Linked DNA regions of Drosophila melanogaster. The protein of the gene in region 2 interacts with the protein of the main gene of each other region in a pairwise test. Each region holds a gene or a part of one and is shown on either strand. Other genes may lie near its edges.

The links.
Region 1: the proteins of TBC1D23 (region 2) and Pp2C1 interact in a two-hybrid assay, tested with the Drosophila melanogaster proteins (one large-scale study listed by BioGRID).

The regions. Positions count from the first base shown.
Region 1 is NC_004354.4:4,679,664-4,690,550, forward strand, and holds Pp2C1 (protein phosphatase 2C), read right to left. Parts: upstream 7,241-10,887; 5' UTR 6,494-7,240; coding exon 5,449-6,493; intron 4,272-5,448; coding exon 3,824-4,271; intron 3,760-3,823; coding exon 969-3,759; 3' UTR 325-968; downstream 1-324.
Region 2 is NT_033779.5:1,126,135-1,134,605, reverse strand, and holds TBC1D23 (TBC1 domain family member 23), read right to left. Parts: upstream 5,291-8,471; 5' UTR 5,118-5,290; coding exon 5,101-5,117; intron 4,788-5,100; coding exon 3,425-4,787; intron 3,343-3,424; coding exon 2,653-3,342; 3' UTR 2,195-2,652; downstream 1-2,194. Other genes in the region: iris, read left to right, coding at 533-2,128; Pino (pinocchio), read left to right, coding at 6,261-6,477.

The sequences.
Region 1 (10,887 bases), on a different chromosome or scaffold from region 2:
AATCAGCTGGTCATAGCCGTTGGGTTTAAATGTTGCAATAAATTTCTAAAAATTCTTCTTTACTTATTGATAAACATCCGCCCAATAGGTGAAACAAAACTCTTGAGAGCAATGACATTTTGTTCCCAGCTTTTGTTGCATTTACTTGGGACGCAAAACATTTAATTCACTTTATAGCAAACCATGCCAGTGTGACCATGCTATATGGTCAACCATAATTATCGACACTTGAAAAAATGTCTTACTTTAAAATTAAATTTGATTATGAGAATCCATATGCTAAATTGAATGAAAATCCAAAAACCCATAGAATTATGTAAAAATAGATGTATTTCAATTGAAAATATTTCGCGATGACATGAAAATGACTTGCAAACGCAAGTGGTGAACACCTTACAAGCGAAGAACAAAAAAAAAAATTAAATGATAAACCTAAAAATATTAGCTTCTCTCGTGTTAGCCTAACTTATCAACTATCTTAGACAACATAGCGTAAAACAGTTAAACACAAGAGACGAGATAAAAATACTTTCCAGTCTGCCGTACACTGAACGAAACGATTTAGTTAGAAAAGAGAATATTTATGTTGAGGAAAACTTTCGGATGTTGGAGAACTTCTTACTTTGGGCGATACAAAAAATATATATATCTATATATATATTCCTATGTACTTTTTGCTATTTACTAACTTCGACTTATAGCTACACTATGAATTTGTTTAATTGTTTAGGCGTAGGTATAAATGTATATATATCAATATATATATTTTTTTTTATGCGGCGGCTTATACAGTTTTTTATATATACATTTAAAAGATGTGTGTGTGTGTGTGTGTGTTGTGCACATAAAAAAATTGGTTAAATTATGCAATTTTGCGTTTTCAGTAAAGTAGTATACTAGGATCTAAAATTTTCCGTTGCTTAGGATTTGTACTTGCAAGTTGCTCGCATGTTTCGTTACAATCTAGCCTAGCGCCTTCGCGTGCCGACTGTGGATGCGGCCAAAGATGCTCCTGGTGGTCCCGCTGCCCCGCCTCCAGATCCCGGTGATCCCGCCGCAGTCGCCGCCCTGCTCCTGTCACTGTAGCAACTGATGGCGGTTATCAGATTGCCAGAGTTGCCACTGCTGCTGCGCAACGACCACCGCTTGTTCAGGTGATCCGCCGCCGCCGCCAACGCCGCCGTATATGCACGCGTTCCAATTGCCAATGTGGGCACGGCTGCATTCAGTTTCTTCGGCGAGGGCGGCGGACGCGCAGAGATGGCTCCATTGCAGGCCTGCAGGCGATTTGATTTCACATTCGAGGGCGACCCACCAGTGCCCACCAGCCCACTGCCGCTGGCACTGCCACTCAGAGTGCTCCGTCGCAAGCTCATTCTTTGCTCCCGATCCTCATGACTGCGTTTTAGGCGCCTGGCTGGCGAGGCGGTAGTACGCGATCCGCTTCCCCTGGACGTGATGACCGGACTGGCTGGGCTTGTGAAACCGGCTGGACTGCTGCCTCCGCTGGCTGGCGACGAATTGCTAGATGGCGTGGCTGAACCGCCCGACAAAGCGGGTACATTCCTTGTCCTTAGCGTGCGCTTGGTCATGTCCAGGTCCATGCCCAGACCGACACCGACACCCACACCCAGGCCCAAGGTGCAGAGACTGCTGCGCAGCTGCCTTTTGTTCACACCACCGCTGGCCGTCAAGGTGTGACTGCGGCGGGTCATCATCATGGAACTGCTGCTGGGCACAACTTTGCTAGCGCTGTTTCCACTCGCATTGGCCACCACATTGACGCTCCGCCGACTATTGGCTGCCACCGCTGGACTGCTCCCACCACTGGCCGATCCTCTGCCGCCGCCGCCGCCACCGCCCCCGCCTACACGCCCAGCTGCAGGTGTGCCAGATGCTCCGGCTGTTCCTCCGACCGTTTCGGTGCTGTCTCCATAGGCCACAATCGCCGCAGCACTGGACTGTATGAAGGACTTTGGCTTGACATGCTTGAAGATCTGACGACGACGCGTCTGCATGTGCTGATGGTTCTCGTTGGGCACGTTGCGATAGCGTCGGATTCGGGGCGCGGTCATAGATCCTCCCAGTCCACTAGATTCGGTGGGCAGGGCGTCAGCCATTGTGGAATTCGTCACGGCCACTGGTGTTGCCTCAGAGTCCTGAACCTTTTGAATGCGCTGGAATATATAGTGCACGGCATGGGCATCCTCTTTGGGCATCTCGGCCACTGTATCTAGCACAGCAACCTGTTTGGTCTCTTGCTTCTTCGGCAGCTTCTTTTCCTGCTTGGATGGAGGTTTTTCGACCGCGGTTAGCATCTCCTGAACCTTCAGGGGCTCCATCTTGTCCACAATCTGCTCAGGCTCCACATGAGTGGGTGTGGCGGGCAACGTGGAGCTCACTTCATTGTCCTGCAACTCTTGTTCGGGTTGAATTACTATGTCTATTACTGTGGAGTCCAACTCCTCCTCGTCTTCTTGTAATGTAGCACACCACTCGCTGGCTGTGGCGGTGGTCACTGGGTAAGCAAATTCGTGCTGTCCCGAACTACTAATGGCCTCCACCTCCATTTGCTCCATTTGCTGTTCGCGCTGCTGCTGCTGCTCCAGGGCTACCTGCTCCTCCTCGGCACGCTCCTGCTGCAGTAGAGCATCCAGCTCGAGCAGCTCAGCCGGCTGCTGTGGCCACGATTCGGTCAGCCGCTCCCTTTCACGTCTGGTCTCTAGTTGCGTTAGCGAATAGCCCTCTTGCTGCTGATAGTGCTGCTGCTCCTGGATGATCTCCAACATGCTGCGGTCCAGCACAACGGATGCGGAATGGGCAGTGGTTTGTTGTGCTTCTACTGCTGCTGCTTCTGCGGCGGCGGCTGCTGCTGCTGCTGAACGTGAGCGTGCCTCCTGCTCCTCCTGCTCGTTTAACAGGGAGTTGTACGACTCGGCGAAACTGTAGCTACTCTCCAGATGCTGCTCCAACTCACTCAGCTCACGATTTTCAGCCGTCTCCGCAGGATCTATTGAGGACTGGGCTATGCTGCCGCCATAATTGGTGCCCTTGTCAATGCTGGTGTGGGAGTACATGTCCAGTGTTAAGACATCTATTCGATCTGGTTCGGGATCGGGTTCCGGTTCCGGTTCGGTGACGCCACTCCAGGAATTGTTGATGGTTGACTTGCGCCACGTTTTTCTGGGGTTGAACAAACTTTGCTGTAGAATTCCCACCGATTTGGTTTCCTCCTCTTCCTCCTCCTCCTCCTCGTCTTCTTCCACTGTTTCCTCATCTTCATCCAACTCGTCCTCGTCCACATCGAAGTAGTCGAAGTTGCGGAAGGCTTCCGGAGGCGAATGTCGCTTGGCCAATGCACTGTACGGCTGGTCCAGCACATACTCATGCTCCTCGATGAGAAAGTCAGGGTAGTTGTTCTCCACATCCAGTGTCGGCAGCTCCTCGTCGTCCTCCTCCAGCAGTAGCTCCACCTCCAGATCATTGTCGCGTGCCATCGCGGATGGGGAACGTGTTGGCGTTGTGGGCGAATTATTGCGGGCCGCTGGTGTTAGTATCACAGTCACAACGGACGTGTTGTCCGCACGCATCTTCTTGGCGGCCCAGGTTTTGAGGGCCTGATCCACCAGCGCCTTGCTGGGATTCATAACGTCCTGCTCGTTGAGTATCTCGCCGATTAGATGCTCCTTGCGCACACTGTCCACCGCCTCCTGGGCGGTCACCACATTCCACAGGCCATCGGTGCCGAAAATTAAGCATCTGCAGGCAAATTATTCAATATTAAGATGTCCAGCAGTTTAGCTAATTAATCAGGATCACTTACCTAAAGGTACTGGGATTTATTTTAACCACTTTGACATCCGGATCGGGACTCACAACGAATTCCTTGAAGCGGGAATTGTAGCTCCAGAGATCGCCCAGGGAACGAGCCACCGCCAAAAAGGGTATTTCATCTACCAGAGTTCTGCGGCGAATGGGACCGCGATGCATTGGGTCCCTGGGTCGGTTCCATACCACTCGCGGAACTCCCGATTTGATGGCAACATTGCCGCCGGAACGCTGGATTCTCGTCTTCTCTGCCAGTGACTCCGGCTTGTGGTCCGTGGTCAGTGGACGAGCACGCCAGTTGCGTTCGCCCTTGTTCTGGTAACCCAAAACGATCCCAGAATCACCCACATGACCAATGTAGATCTTCTCGCGACGCATAAAGGCCACTGTGGCGGTGGTGCCGGCGGTGCTCAGATGCCCATTGGCAGTGCGTGGCCATTTCTCTGCGGGGTTGGGAAAGGATAATACCAGATTTTAGAATTTTCCATAATTCCAACTTAACTTATACGTTATCAAAGAAGAATTAAGCCTTAACAAAAAAAAAAAAAAATGGTTGTGTAAGTCATAAAATTTCCTTCATTTTAACAGAAAACCTAAATAACTTAATGAAATTATAAAAAATGAATAGGGTAAGGACAAAAAGAAAACAATACCAAATCGCTTTAAAATTCTGGATTTTCCCAAACAACTAAATACAATTTCTACTTATATTTATATATTTAATGAGGCAATGAGTAATAGCATTTAAACAGCCACTTTACATGATGCAAGCAGTTGAAAAAATCATTTTCTAAGGCCCCTGGATTTTTGGCGCTTAACTGAATATATTGGTATATCGAAACGACGGATATTGATATTTCCCACACAGATACACACCTACAAACGTGTATCTGCGTTTCTGGCATCCCTTGAATTTCTGTGTACATTGTTTTTGTTATGCGAATAGGAAAATGGGCACACATTTATTTTCTTTTCTCTTTGGCCACCTCTCGCTCTCTCACTCGTTGCATCTCTTTCGTTCTCGCATTTCGAAACGCCTTGGTGGGCCGCGCCGCCATACGGACGTCCCGCTCTAACTCACAGCGGGGTTGCCATGCTTGGCGAGAGTACAGCCATATGGCAAGTCCGTGGAATATTCCACTCGCGATAACTAAGTGTGTGTGTGCATTTGTATCTGTATCTGCTGCTGTACTTGTATCTTTTTAGTGTGGGCTGACAATAGAGATGAGCAATTGAGCGATGGTTGAGTCATCGCCACACACGGTTGCATAATTACCTAGAGATGGGAGACCCAAGGGAGCAGCTCGAAACTTGAGGCAACTTTTTTTTGTGTGGGTGGGGGGGTGGTGCGAAACGGCAACCCTGACAACGGGGACTTACGCGGTTTGAATGCCGCCAACTGGCAGTTAATTCAGTTTTCGCGCATCTCTAACGGTCGCTTGGCATTGGCAACAATTTTGATATGAAATTGCATGAGAGAAGGCACAAAAACAAATACAAATACAAGTATATTATATTCTCTTTTTTTCGTATGATTTAAAATCTTTATGCCAACTAACTGCTTTCTTTGGGTTGTCTCAACTGTAAGATGGCTTAGTTTCCCAGCTATTTCTTGCTCACCTTGTTCCCGCCACATGGCGAAATGTGTGGCGATGTATCCCTCGCGTATTGCCCGCAGGACATCCTCATCCTGATCAGACCAGAACTGCTTCTGCTTGACGATCTCGAGCATAAGGTGCTCCTTGGCGAAGAGCGCGGCCTCGGGACCGCCGTGTCCGTCGTAGATGCCAAAAAATGCGTATTCCAGTTCGTGGGTGATCGGTGATTCCTGGTAGGCCACCGAGAACTGATCCTCCATGTATTTCCGGCCTCCCTGGCAGCATTGTCCAGTTACGCGCATATTGACGCCCAGGGAGGAGCACGGCGACGGATTGCCGGTGGATGCGCTACTTCCTGTAGCGGAGCTGGAACTGGAATTACTGTTGGAACTGCTGCTCGAATTGGAATTGCTGCTGCTGGCACAGCTCTCTGGAATCGATCGCGGTGGAACGATGGCCGCCGACCGGCGTAATCGACTCTGTGCCGCTCCGCCGCCCCTCGAGCGATTTATTGTTGTGGTTGTTGCTGAGTTTAAACGTTGTTTCTTTGGATTTAAAGGCTTGGCTGGTGATCCCCCCTCCATATCGACGACTATATCCTCGGCATATGCTTCCATCTCGGTGAACGCCAGGTCGGGAATGGGTATGCTGATCCTCTCTGGCCTTTGCTCCGGCTCTTCCTCTTCCTCCTGTGCGACTCCTACCGCTGCCGGTTCAACAACAACAACATCACTGCTGGCATCCAGTGCTGGATGGCATGCACTGTTATTGTTGTTATTGCCGCTGCTGCTGCCGCCGTGGCGAGTAACGGAGGCTGTGGCTGGAGCTGGTGCTGGAGTTGTGCCGCCGTCGTCCCCATAATAGTTAATAATATCAAATTCCACGGACGACTCATCTGAGTCCTGGAAAGTACCGCTATTCGCTGCCGTCTCTCGCAAACGGACTACCGTTTTTTCGATGGCCGTATTGATGAGGCATCTGTTGGTGGTATTGGTAGTGGCGTTGATTGTGTTGGCATTTGTGTTGGTATGGGTGCTGGTGCTACTCCTGTTATTGGCGGGCAACATCTTCCTGCTTCTCCCTCTGTTATTTTTTGTGGTTTTCCCCCGAGTTTTGTTTATGCTGCCTGCTGCTGCTTCTTCTTCTTCTGCCTTTTAGACTTCTCCGTCTCGCAGTGTTGTAATTTCCGTTGACATTTGGCACTCTCACACACACGTACAACGCAACACAACACAAAAAAACAATAAAAAATATATAAAGTACAAGAAGAAAAAGCGACTCAGGCCTTTCTCTCTCCCGCTCTCGCTCTCGCAGCCCTCGCTGTGACGGGCAGTGCAAGCGGGACGACTATCTATATGATGTATGTAATTTACGTTCGCCAACGAGCTTGCGTGTATGCGTGCTCCATCTAGCGTATTTAGTATTTTGTGTTTGCAACTGGCCGCCAAAAACCGATGAATTTCCTTTAATTTGCACCAAATCGAGGATTTATGAGTAGATTGTGATTTCTGCTTTTGCTTACAGCAATAACGTTAAAAGACATCGGTCTTTTATCCTCGATGAAAGACTTAATGACCAAGGCGCGCAGTTTTACCTTGATGATTTGTTGTTCGCCAGCATTTTTTGCCGTTCGATTCTGCTCTCGACTTGCGAACACTTTTCTTTTTTTTTTATTTTAATTTTTTTGGCTGTCAGCACGTCCACATCCACACACACAACAAAATTCACGGCAAATTGTTTAACAAAAATTATGTTGAAAAAAAAATCAAATAGAAAGCGTGTGACCGTTGTGAAAGTAGGTCGAAAACACCACGCTCCATAGGCGATGTATAATGCTGGCAGCACACCAATCGATAACAACGAGGACGGGGTTGCAATCGATGAATGTATTGAGTGCATTATTTTTAAGATTTTCGTAATTTATACACTTATTATAAGTTGTTATAAGTAAGTTTTCTCTGGCAATTAAAATTTGTTCTAACATTTAAAAGCAATAAGTTTAATAAACAATGTCTGGTCTCCATAATGAATTATGATAATCATAATTGAATTCACAATAAGCTGTTTAAAAAAAGGTAACGATTTTCTTATTGCACATCTCATTCAAATACATTCATATAGCTAAAGTCGTATGTTTATAGCGATATATATGAATACCACAAGTTACGGATAACTAACGAGATTATTAAGAATACAAATATTATTTTGGGTACTGTATATTTTCAAACGTTTATATCATTTTATAATGCATTTTTTGACAAACATATAATTATAAATGTTTTCATTTATAAAAAAAACTAATTGTATCATTATTATTTTACATATGCTTATTTTAAATTAGTTTATTACTTGACGCAATAAGTATGTCAATGAAAAAAAATTTGGAAACAAACTGGTTGTAATTTATAACATTAAAGATATGTTTCATTATCCGTCTCAGCTTTTATATTCTCGTCAGTTACATGTCGATTTCTTTTGAAACTATGTTGCATCATACAAAATTTAATCGAATGTACAATGTATGGCTTGGATTTCTTTAACATTATTATTGTAAATAGTTTTAATTACTTGCAATACAAAAAATATGTTTTTTTTATCGAAACACCGCTAGCCAGCAATAGTAATTCTTTTATATAAAATTAAAAAAAAAAAATGTATACATAGATGATAAAATAAATCGAGTGCGTGCGATAAAATAAATTGATATTTGCGATAAGCTAAATCGAATGCACCCGAAAAGTCAGCTGCTTGTATCGTTTAGAACTCCTATATCAGTGATGTCCGTCTTTAAATTGCATTCAATCGAATATTGAATACCGGTTATCGAGTGCAGGATTTCAGAGAACATATTTGACTTTCAACAGTTTTACGCGGATTTTAATTCCATACTCGACAAAATATTCCCCCGTTACTAGTCAATTATTAGCATCCCTACATCGGTAAGTGTTATCGAATCGATAATAAGCATCACTGGTGCCAGACGTCGCCCGCCAAGCGTGGCCTGCCAGACGCGGCCGTGTTCTGGCCAATCAGAGCCGCCTACGACTCGTATGTTGGAGCTCGTCGTCCGTCGTGTGATTAACCGAAGTCGAAAACCGAAATAGAAGCCGTCACTCAGTTAATCACCAGCAAGCAAAACGTTCAGTTGTGTTTCAGTTGTCGAGAAGTCAGGGTGTTTCTACCTTCCATTTACCGTTCCAGTGTAAAATTCAGGCGACACGCTTAGCGGTAAAAAACCCACACATCCACGCACAATAAAGTATATTGGGGCAAATGTTTTTTCAACCCGGTTCCTAGAGATCTTCTGAAAAAACAATTCCCTATCTACTGTTCTTTTTTTTCTCGTTCTCTGTTCTCAAAGTGAAGTAGCCGCGGCGTGCTAAATTTGTATTGCGTGCAAAATTGTTAAAAAAAAAAATAAACCGAAAGAGAAATAAGCAAACACATACACACGCATTCCGCATTTTTCCTGCCCACAACTTTTTTTTTTTAAGTTCAAATTTGGTATTGCATTAGAATTTATTTGGTGACAGCTGTTGAACTATGAGTGAAAAAATCGCGCGCAATCAGGAAAAATTAAAAGGTAAGTCATAGAAAATACCTAGCAAAAAACAAAAAGAAAACGCCGTGTGAATGTTCTTGAATGCAAAAGCAACGTTATGCATTTTAATAATGCGAAAAGTTCCCGTGGTGCAAAATGTGTGGGAGAACACAGAAAACATTTTTTTTGTCAGCTTCTGGCTCTTATTTGGAGCTACGCTGATATCAAGTTTTCGGGTTGACGTCATTTTAATTATGCATAGAAACGCAGGTAATAGTAGAAGATTTTGTGATTTTTTGTCAGCGGTTTCAGCAGAGTTTTCGCAACGTTTTTCGAGAACAATCGGGCTAATGATTGATCAGCTGTCGAAAGTTTCAGTTGTTCTTCCCTTAGGCTGTGTGAAAATTGCTAATTAGAGTACAGTAGAGGTTCGGCGAGGGAAGCCGAGTGTAGTCCTGCATTGAAAATTCGCGGGTTTCCAATTGCAAACGGGAAATTCAATTACCCAGCGTGTATGTGCAAGCGGCGCGTGTGTGTGGCTGCGTGAATGACTAGCAAAAAGCGTTGCATAGTATCAGGTGCAGGGCCCCGTCCAGTCTAGTATATATATATATATATAATAATATATGTATATAATATATCTATAAAAAATATACATAAATATATATAAAAAATGAATGACTAGCAAAAAGCGTTACATATTAGCAGGTGCAGGGCCCCGTCCCAGCCTTTTGCTAGGCATTTACGCATATACATATTTATATATATATATATTTAAAATATATATATATATTTATATATTTAATATATTTATATATTTAATATATTTAATATATTTATATATAAATGTCAGGCTGATAGCACAGAGAGAAAAAGAGAAAGAGAGAGAGAGAGAGACAGGACTGGACCGGGACCTGCAGCAGTTACTATGGAACGCTTTTTGCTAGTCATTCACGCAGCCACACACACACGAATTTTTATATGTGTGTTTGATTAACACTGAACAAAAAAATAATGCTGAAAACAAGCACTGTTTCATGTTCATAAATATACAACTTGTGTTCTCTTCCGCTTCCTGTCTTGCCTCTTTCCCCTCTCTCTTTCCCCTACACTTTTTAACTGTCAATGCAGTTTTCTAATTGACTTCATCAGAAAAGCGAGAAGAAGAAGAAGTGGAGGTAGCTGCAGCATCCATACAAATACACACATGCCGTCCCTCTCACTCCATTGCCTTTGGCCACCTGTCAACTCTCGGCTGTCTACCTCCCATCCCCACCCGCCTATCCGCAATCCCTATCCCTCCCTCTCTCGCTCTCACTGTGTGCGATTCCGCCCGCCAACAGTTTTGCCAGCTTTACCGTTATGATTTGTCTGCCCTGCACGTTACTGTCAAACGTCAGGAACACGAACGAACCTGCTAAATCGCAACAAATTCCAGACGCCGATAAAAAAATACGTTTCAAGACTGAACATAAATACATACATACGTATGCAAAGCAGCACCGAGCATATCGGAAATTAATCTCGTCAATCTGTTTCTGAACAGGAAGAAATCTGAATTGAGAATGGCATATTGCTCATCATATAACAAGATAATACATCTTATCATTCAGATTTATGCAAAGTAGACAATGTAAAGCCAATTGATATCGCAGGTAAAGAAGATATAATTAGCTGTATACTTTCTTAAAATCAAATAGAGTAAAGCCAAAGATAAAAATTATAATACTAAAATGTATTATGGCATGCCAAGGCGTTTAGCGGGTGCTAACTGTATTTGTGAATTCGATTGCTACTTTGTGATTAGCTGCGTGTGGAGCTTTGCTGGTCGCCTTTGCTTAGGCGTTTTCAGTAAATTACGGAAAATATTGGATCGTGCGAATGTGTCAGCACAAAGAGCGCCGGGTCCGGGTATCCTAG
Region 2 (8,471 bases):
ACTCCTCCACTCGCCGACCGAATCCCGTCCGGTCTGCACACAACCTACGTCACTCTCATTGATAAAGACCGCGGAGCTCGGAGGAGCCTGCTTACGTACTTGCCTGGCGAGGCAGCGAGCCAATCCTCTACTGCGCCGGCGCCGGATCTGCAAAGAGCTGCGTTACTGCCAGGTCGCATCGGTGGGCCTCTGTGGTGCTGGTTATGCCGCTATGACACTGGTTGTTATGTAAATTCACTATATTAGTACTCAATGCACTTGACTAGTGTAAAATGTATAATAAATATGGATGGCTTATGTTATATTTGTATATTATATATTTATATTATATTTATTTGAAAGCTAATTCTGGCTAATTGCCTCACTTGCAAATATTTAAAAATTTATATTGCGCACAATGATCCGATCATTTTGCTATATCAGCAATTGAACATACATATGGACATGCACTACCGCTTGCTACCCGATTCTCAGGAGCTCACCTTCAGTTTAGCGCGGAACTCTGGGCAACGATCACCTCTACAAGCGAAAGATGAAAGCGATTAGTTTGGTATTCATCCTCGCCCCCTCGCTGATAGCGCTCTCCCATGGAAGCCCAGTTGATCGGGAGGCGATCGGAGGTCCGATGGCGATGCGGGGATTCAACAACAGTCTGGGCACCTTCGTGGAGTACAGCGGTCAGGCATCGCTAGCCTCCAGAGATTGGAAGTTATGTGCCAGCTTCAACTTGGAGTCGCTTTATACGGCAATACGTGCGTTCAATGGTGTCTACAAGGCTTTGGTCGATGTGTGCGATATCCAAAGGAATCTTTGTCCAGAAATTCTGGACATTACCAAGTTTGCGGATAGTATTCTTCACGATGGACTAATTGACTTGGAGAAAGCGTTGGACTTTAGGGCCGGACGACTTTCTTTGGGAGATGACGACGTGTCCATCGAGCTTGGGATGGGAACATCCTGCATTGACAGCTCCATTAATGTTATAAATGTGATACTTCAAGAACCCTTTCACGAGGCTTATGAACCTGAAAACCTGATTATGATGAAGCCGTATCTATACCTTATGGGCAGCAGACTAAAAAGTGCCCAGAATGCCATAACTGAAGCCATAATCTCTGCCCACCACGGAAAGCTTAGTCCTCTTGTCCTTTCAATGAAACAGCTGCAAGCGAAGATGCCGCCAATTCTGGGAGATCTGGATGGCCGATATACAATCCGGAATATTTACCTTCTCGCCTCCGTAGTTCCTCGGCAGCGGGGCAACCACGTGGAGTTCCAAATCACAGTGCCCTTGCTCGATGCGGAGAAGTTTAATATCTACCGATTGACGCCCATTCCACGGTTAAACAATGGCGTAATCCAACTGGTGGACACCGAAACACCTTATCTGGGCATCAACGATCATATGGACAGGTATTTTCCGCTTCAGAGCTTGGACGACTGCATCAAGTTGGGCGAAGAAAGGTTCATCTGCAGGCGCAACCGCATTATCTACGGGACTGGGGATGACAGTTTTGCCTGCTCCCTGGCGGCCATACGGAACCAGTCTTCCGAAGTCTGCACCTTGCGTCAAGTGAAGGAGAAGAGTCTGTGGACAGAGATGGTGGCACCAAACTCCTGGATGGTGGCCCTTACCAATGAGCTAACTTTAATAGGAGTGTGCTCCGGTGAGAGGCAGGAGCTCCAATTGAATGGCAGTGGAATCCTGAGCATTCAAAGCGACTGTGCCGTGCGCAGTCCAGCTGTCGCCCTCCGTGGAGAAGTCCGGGAAAGAGTTCCTTCGAAAGCAGGTTACGCAACGCTGCAGAAGGAACCAAAATCTTCCCAGGAATCCGTGACCTTGGAATCATTTAATCAACTCCTGGCGATCGTGGGCAAACTGGAGCTGAATCAGAAAAAGCTGGAAGCAGTCCGAGATTACCCAATGGTAGTCGTAGTAGTAGTAGCTGTGTGCGCAGCCATATTGCTGGTCGCCTTACTTGTTTCGGCGACCTGGTTATATCGCACCCATCGGAGCAAACAACTTGCGCAGGCTCAAAATCTTGTCAACGAAGTCAATGGTCTCCAGGATCCACAGAATCGCACCACAACCTGCAATCTTCCGCTGCTGGAAAAACATGAAATCTAAAAAAAAAAGAAGATGCGGCTGCGTGGTGCATCTGTTAAGTTCCGATGAAATTTCAAAGAGAGCTATGATTTTTTAACAATTTTTTGTGTCGATTATAATACAGTTTTATTTGTTTGGTTTGATTGCAATAAATATTAGTTACTCTCATCATGTACACGTTGTAAGTCTCAGGGCTTCGGTAAGGGTTCCTTATTCGCACTTAGAAATTTAGAAAATTGGGATCGGGGGCGTGGCATGCTCGGGATGGCCATGTGATCTGGGACTACGTTCGACTATTTTCTTCAAATCCGGTCTCTGCACCGAGTGCACTATGTTACAATTGCAGCCAGCGCTTCGTTTACAATAAGAACTATACTATTTCAGCTAATACAAGGAAAACAATGCCAATTACAAACTATTACACCGCTCGCAGCGGCGCATTGCACTTTGTGTCTCTGATTTTTGTATCAGTGGCCGTTCATGAAATAAAGCTTGATGCGGAAAGGCGGAAACAAGAAGAGCATGCGGCGGTTGTCCGGTTTATCCTACTTGGCGTCGTCAAGCACCTGCACGATGAGCCTTGAAATCAGTGCCGTAACTTCGGCCGCATTTGGTATGAGGAAGCGGTCCATGTCGGTTATGAGCAGACCATCGCCATCGGGGAATCCGTACTTGAACGTGATGAGGTCGCGGTGTCGCTTCTTGGCCGTGATCTTCACGATGCTCGCCAGCGGGCGACGCACCATTATCTGCGCCTGGCCGCGTCCCAGTTCCCGCAGCACCACCAGTTGCCCGGGCGTGATGATCAAATGACTGTCGTACATGTAGCCGCTCATGTGCACCTCCTGGCACTTGAAGGCGTTGATGATGTCCGCCGTCTTGAAGTACTGGTTCAGATTCACGATCTCCTTGCCGTCGCTGGTCAGCGGTGCGTCATCCCGCTCCCCCGCCCCGTCCAAGGCATCCTCGTTCTCATCGTCGATGCTGAACACAGGTGCCACATTGCGGTAGCGCTTGCCGTTCCGCTCCTTTGCACTAACATGGCGCTCTTGCACCGGCGCCGATGGCACACCATTGGTGCCGCTAGCCGTGGCTCCGCCATTTGCACTGGGATTCACGATAATGTCTAGTAGTTTGCCCTTGACCTCGGCAGACTTTGACTTCATGGCGGCGGAGAACTTGCTGAATAGGTCTGTAGAGGATGGCGTCGAAGTCTTAAGCGGCGCTGATTTAGTCTGCAGGAGCGGAATTGAGAAATTATAAGTATACTAATTCGATTCAAAGTATTGTACATTTCCTGAGTTATCGAAGTCTTACCTGCTGCGCGTTGTGCTGCTGGCAGACGAGGCACTTGCGCGCATTGTGATCCTCCAGGCAATCGGCCATTTGATCGCCGAAGTAGTCGTGGATGGAGGCGTAGCCACCGGTCAGCAGCGACACGTAGTGGGTGTTCTTCTGCAGGAACGAGGCCACCACCATGTGTGTGTACTGGTCCTCTTCGACGCGACCGCTGCCCATGAAGCACAGATGCTCGCCGCCGGCGTTCGAGTTGGCCTCGATGGCCTGCCGCTGGGCGGTCAGGAGGCCCTGGACGGCGGTGGCAAAGGCGACAGGTTCCTGGAGCATGAGGTTGCAGTCCAGATGGAATGCCGTGGACAGGTGGCCGGCGTTGTATTGCTCGGCCGGGCGGCAGTCAACGAGAAAGAAACGCACTGCATCCGGCACAGGAAACTCTGTGGCCGAGTTCTCTACCAGCTCGTAAACGGAGACGGGCAGGCACAGGGCCTGTGATACCTTGTTTGCCTCCTCCTGGCTGCGCGGTGTATCATTCTGCTTGCCGTACAGCGCCTTCAGATAGTCCGTCTTGAAGGAAGTTGGTGTCTTGAGCGCGTAGTACTGGGCCAGGGAGCAAAAGTCGGGGACGTCGTCGAACTCCAGGGCGCACGGCATAAGGCTCAGGAACTTGATGATCTCCTCCTTGGACGAGCTCCTCATCTGCAGGATCTGCTCCCTGCCGTTGATCAAGATTATTAGCGCCAGGAAGAAGACCATGAAGGGATCGGCGTTCTGAAAGTACAGGTCCCACATGGCAATGATCACTGACAGGCTGCTGCAGGAGGCGAAAAGCGACTGGAACCAGGTCAGCGAGTACAAGTCGGGCGTGATCTTCTTGGTGTCCAGCAGCGTGCACAGCTCCGGATCGTGGTAAAGCAGGAGCAGTCGGAAGACATGAAAGACATTGCCCTTGGGCCGGCAACCCTTGGGTATGTACGTGTCTCGTATGGACTCGAACAGGTTGAATGTGTCGGAGCGATTCAGCTTCAGGGCGAACAGCGGGAGCAGCAATTCAATCCATCCGTTGTCCGGCTCATACTGAAGGTTTCTGTTCTTGCAGTAGAAGGTGATGATGGACTCGAGGTCGGATACCACCGAGACCTTGTCCTCCTCATCGTTGCCCATGCGATCGACGTGCCGCTGGCAATCCTCGCGCAGTTGGCTTTGGAAGGGCAGGTCGTAGATCTCGTTGAAGAGCGACATTTGATCCGATTTGTGGCGCACATCCAGGCACACTTGCCACACGTCCGGACGCAGTGCCTCCGGCAGAGCCTTGCCCTGGCATATGCCGTAGATGTCGTTGACAGTGCAGTCGTCCAGCAGTGCCGACTCCAGCTCAATGATCCTGCATACAAGAGAGGGATGTCCATCACAATCAGTTGCTTGGTACTTGTTCTGCTCATGCTACGGGTGAAGGGGACGTCAACGTGTCTAAATAACCAGCTGCTGATAAGGCGGAGCACCCACACCCCCAGGTGCTCCGCGTCCCGCTGGCCCAGCACCAAGCTGCTGACTCAATCAGCGAAACAAATGGTGGTCTGTTCGAGAAAGCCAAAGGCGATGGATGCCAAAGAAAATGAGGTGCTGGAGCTGAATCTCTAGACTCTCTGACTAATCTTAGTTGTTGACGTAGCCCCAACCCAATGTTTATTATTTACCACATATTCTCCTCCATGATTTCGCTGTGGGCTAGTTCCTACGTTTCGGATTCGAAATGCTGCCTTAGTGCAATCTATTCAGCTGCAGAAGGCCAGGCTGGTGCATTTTCTTTCTGTTCCAGGTGCGAATAATGATTTTTGTGATATTCCAAATTTATTTTGATCGAATTTTGGTTACGTTATGATGGTTACGTTTATAGCGATGGGAGGTGCTTACGTCTGCCACGGCGCACGTTAGAGATGGCAGTGTGCATATGAACTAACAATACAATTGTATTAAGATATTTGTAATAAATCGTTAAAAATGATTACAAACTTGATACTTGTCAGAATGCTAAAATTTGAGATAACAAATTAGAAAATAAATTTAAGTTATATTGTTATATATATATAAGGTTATTCAGCGGGATCTAAGCAAACTATCTATATTATTTTCATATTACAGGTATCAAAAGAGAATAGAAAATTTTAGTTTGTTCATTTGAACATTGAAGTTGAAATGCATAACGCTTTCTGTCCTATCGATTAGTGTTGCCAACTACGATAATCGACAGCTGACCACCTCTAGTTGCCAGCAATTTTGCAAGCAAAGTTTTGTTTTGCCTGAATTTTATCCAAATTTAACTTAAAATTCGGTTGCGTTGGCCTAAATTTGGATACTTAACTTCAAGCTGGTCGACTGAGCGTGCTGCTAGTATAAAGGTGAGTGAGCTTAGAGGCCAGCACACGTAACACAGATTTTAGGCATTTCCATGCAAACACACATGTATGGAGACCAAACAAAATTTGCAAAAGCAATAACAGCAACAAATACACGAAGCGAATGCAATTGCTCACTCATGCATGCAAACACACACTCACACACATGTAGCCTTCACCCAAATAAAATTTAGCTTGCATCTATTGATTTGCATGTTGCACTTGTGCAAAGAAGTGTTGTAAGAAGTGCGGGGAGGGGTAAGCGTGCAACAGCTGTGTGCCTGCTCCCCTCCCCCTTGACTGTGTTATCAACCACCCCCCCACCCCCCTTTATCCAAACACTTGGCCAATCAACACAAGCTGCGCTTTAAGCCACGTGTGTACTTTTTGCTGTTTGCATGCCAGCACGTATCTGCTTAGCCAAGGAATCCTCTAATTGCGTTTCTCTTACCCTTATGGAGATGAAAACGGGCAGCAACAACAACCACATCTCCGCCAGCAGCAGCAGCAGCAACAACAACAACAACAGCTCATTGGTGCAACAGCAGCAGCAACGCTCCACCACTTCCGTTTCCGTCTCCTCGTCTCACATTGTCACCGAGTGGGAGGATGGCATCATTTTCGATGTGGACGATCCCGACTTTTGCAATCTGGCCACCGACAAGCTGAACTTCATAGGTGAGTGCGCCATAGCGAGTTCGTACATATAATTAGCCACCCGATTATATTTATAGTCTAGACATCGGAGTAATCTATGTTATTTACGATTAGCCGTAGCGAAGCCCACTAATTGAGCAGCGGAAAACGCTAGTCGCACCTTTGTACTAGCTGCATCGGCTTATCGCCAAGTGGTTTTCCCGTCTCTTGGAGTCCCGGCTTTTGTCCGATCGGGCGGAAACTGCCGTACACTTTTATTAATGCCCATACACTCCGGCTTTATCTTCGAATGGCATTGATAGTGGGTCGGTCGCCTATAAGCAGGGGCCATCAATTTTACAATCCCGGAATAGCCAACACTCTGTCTTCCCCAAAGAGTTCCATTTAAAATTAGTACCATTCCGTGCTGTTTTTAGCACGTACCCGTACGCATCCCACGAAAATTGGCCGATCCATCAATTACCATTCGAAATGGATGAGAGAGTGGGCTCCCAGTGGGGCTAATTGTTTTGCCCGTTTGCCCGTTTATCTGCCATCTGATTAGACGTACAAGCGGGTCGTGCGACTAGCCTATTCACACGTTTCGCTTGTCACCCAGAACTCAGAACGCCCAATTCACGCGTTTGTCATGTGACTGCGGATCGGATCGAAGCGAATCGGACAAGCCTCTCCAGCCGATCATGCCTCTCCTTCGCTTCATCGGCTGCGGAATGGGTGCCAAAAGAGTGTGCAAACATTTCCGATGGCCCGGCAGTTCAAGTGGAATTTTTCCCCAATTTTGGTAAACAATAACATTGCCGGCTTATGCGTGCTAGCGTGAGCTGTTTTTTGCATGCATATTGCCCCACCGACAACCGGCACGTGTCGCCCATAAAAGGCTTCTGTGGAGCAGGGCTTATGGAGCCAAACTTGCGTGTGAGCCGCCCACCATGAGAGTTGCAAATGAACTCCCTTATCCGGTCTTAAGTGGGCCAGTTAATAAAGGTACAACTTCTAGGAATGATTTATTTCTTATGAAGACTGATTGGTTTATTGCTCCAAATCTTGGTACTTAAGTTCCCACATTTTCCGTTGTTCAACCCAAAAGGAAGCGAAAGTTGGTCAGTTGCGAACTATTGCGCTTAGCTCGCACATTTGCGAATGATTAGCATATTGCATCAGACGATTTGCAATCAGCTTCGTCTGCCAGAGCTACACGGTCTCACGGTTCATGTTGATGTTGTAAGGCCTTAAATGAATCGTAGAATCGCGGTCGATCAAAGCTGAGAAGCGATTTATCCGAACTATTTATAGGACTGTAAGTCAGCTTTATCGGCATGACTCACGCACATTAGATCTGATCTTTCGGCTGAACGCACAGGCCGTACCTTTGCCACTTATCATGATGGATGTAGTGGAATTTTATTATCTGAACTGATCGCTCTTGTGCTTATCTCGCGTGGGACTTGAGTCATCCGCCGTCTAGACCGGCTATTCCTTATACAACATTAATTATAATTGTTGGAGCGGTGGGAAGCGTTTGTAGAATTCGCTGGCGAATCTCATGCGCGGACACGGGAGCTTGCATAAGCGTTTTGCATGCATAAAATGCTTATTAAAACGACAAACGTAACGACAGTTTTTAAAAATAAAACCGTTTTCGGTTTCGCAATGTCCCCTCAACCCACTGTCTGCGTTTTGCGTTCCCATGCTCATTATAGAACGGACCGCCACGCGCAGTCCGTTCACGATTTTGTTTAATTTGTCGACTCGACCGTCCGTGCATGATAAGTCCCATTGACTGCCGCCGACGTCTCCGGTATGGCGCAGCAGCCCCGACGTCTCAGGTTCTCCAATCTCCGGCGAAAGCCGATAGCCCTCCGCAACGCAGTGGACGTGTGCTGGGTGCACAGGTGCGGACATGTGTCTAATTCTGCGGCGATGGCGTGATGGAAAGTGCCCAAATGCAATCCGATCCGTCAGCTTCGACTTCTGATCGGGACCTGGCGCCGGGCTTTGTGGTCTGGACACCAGTT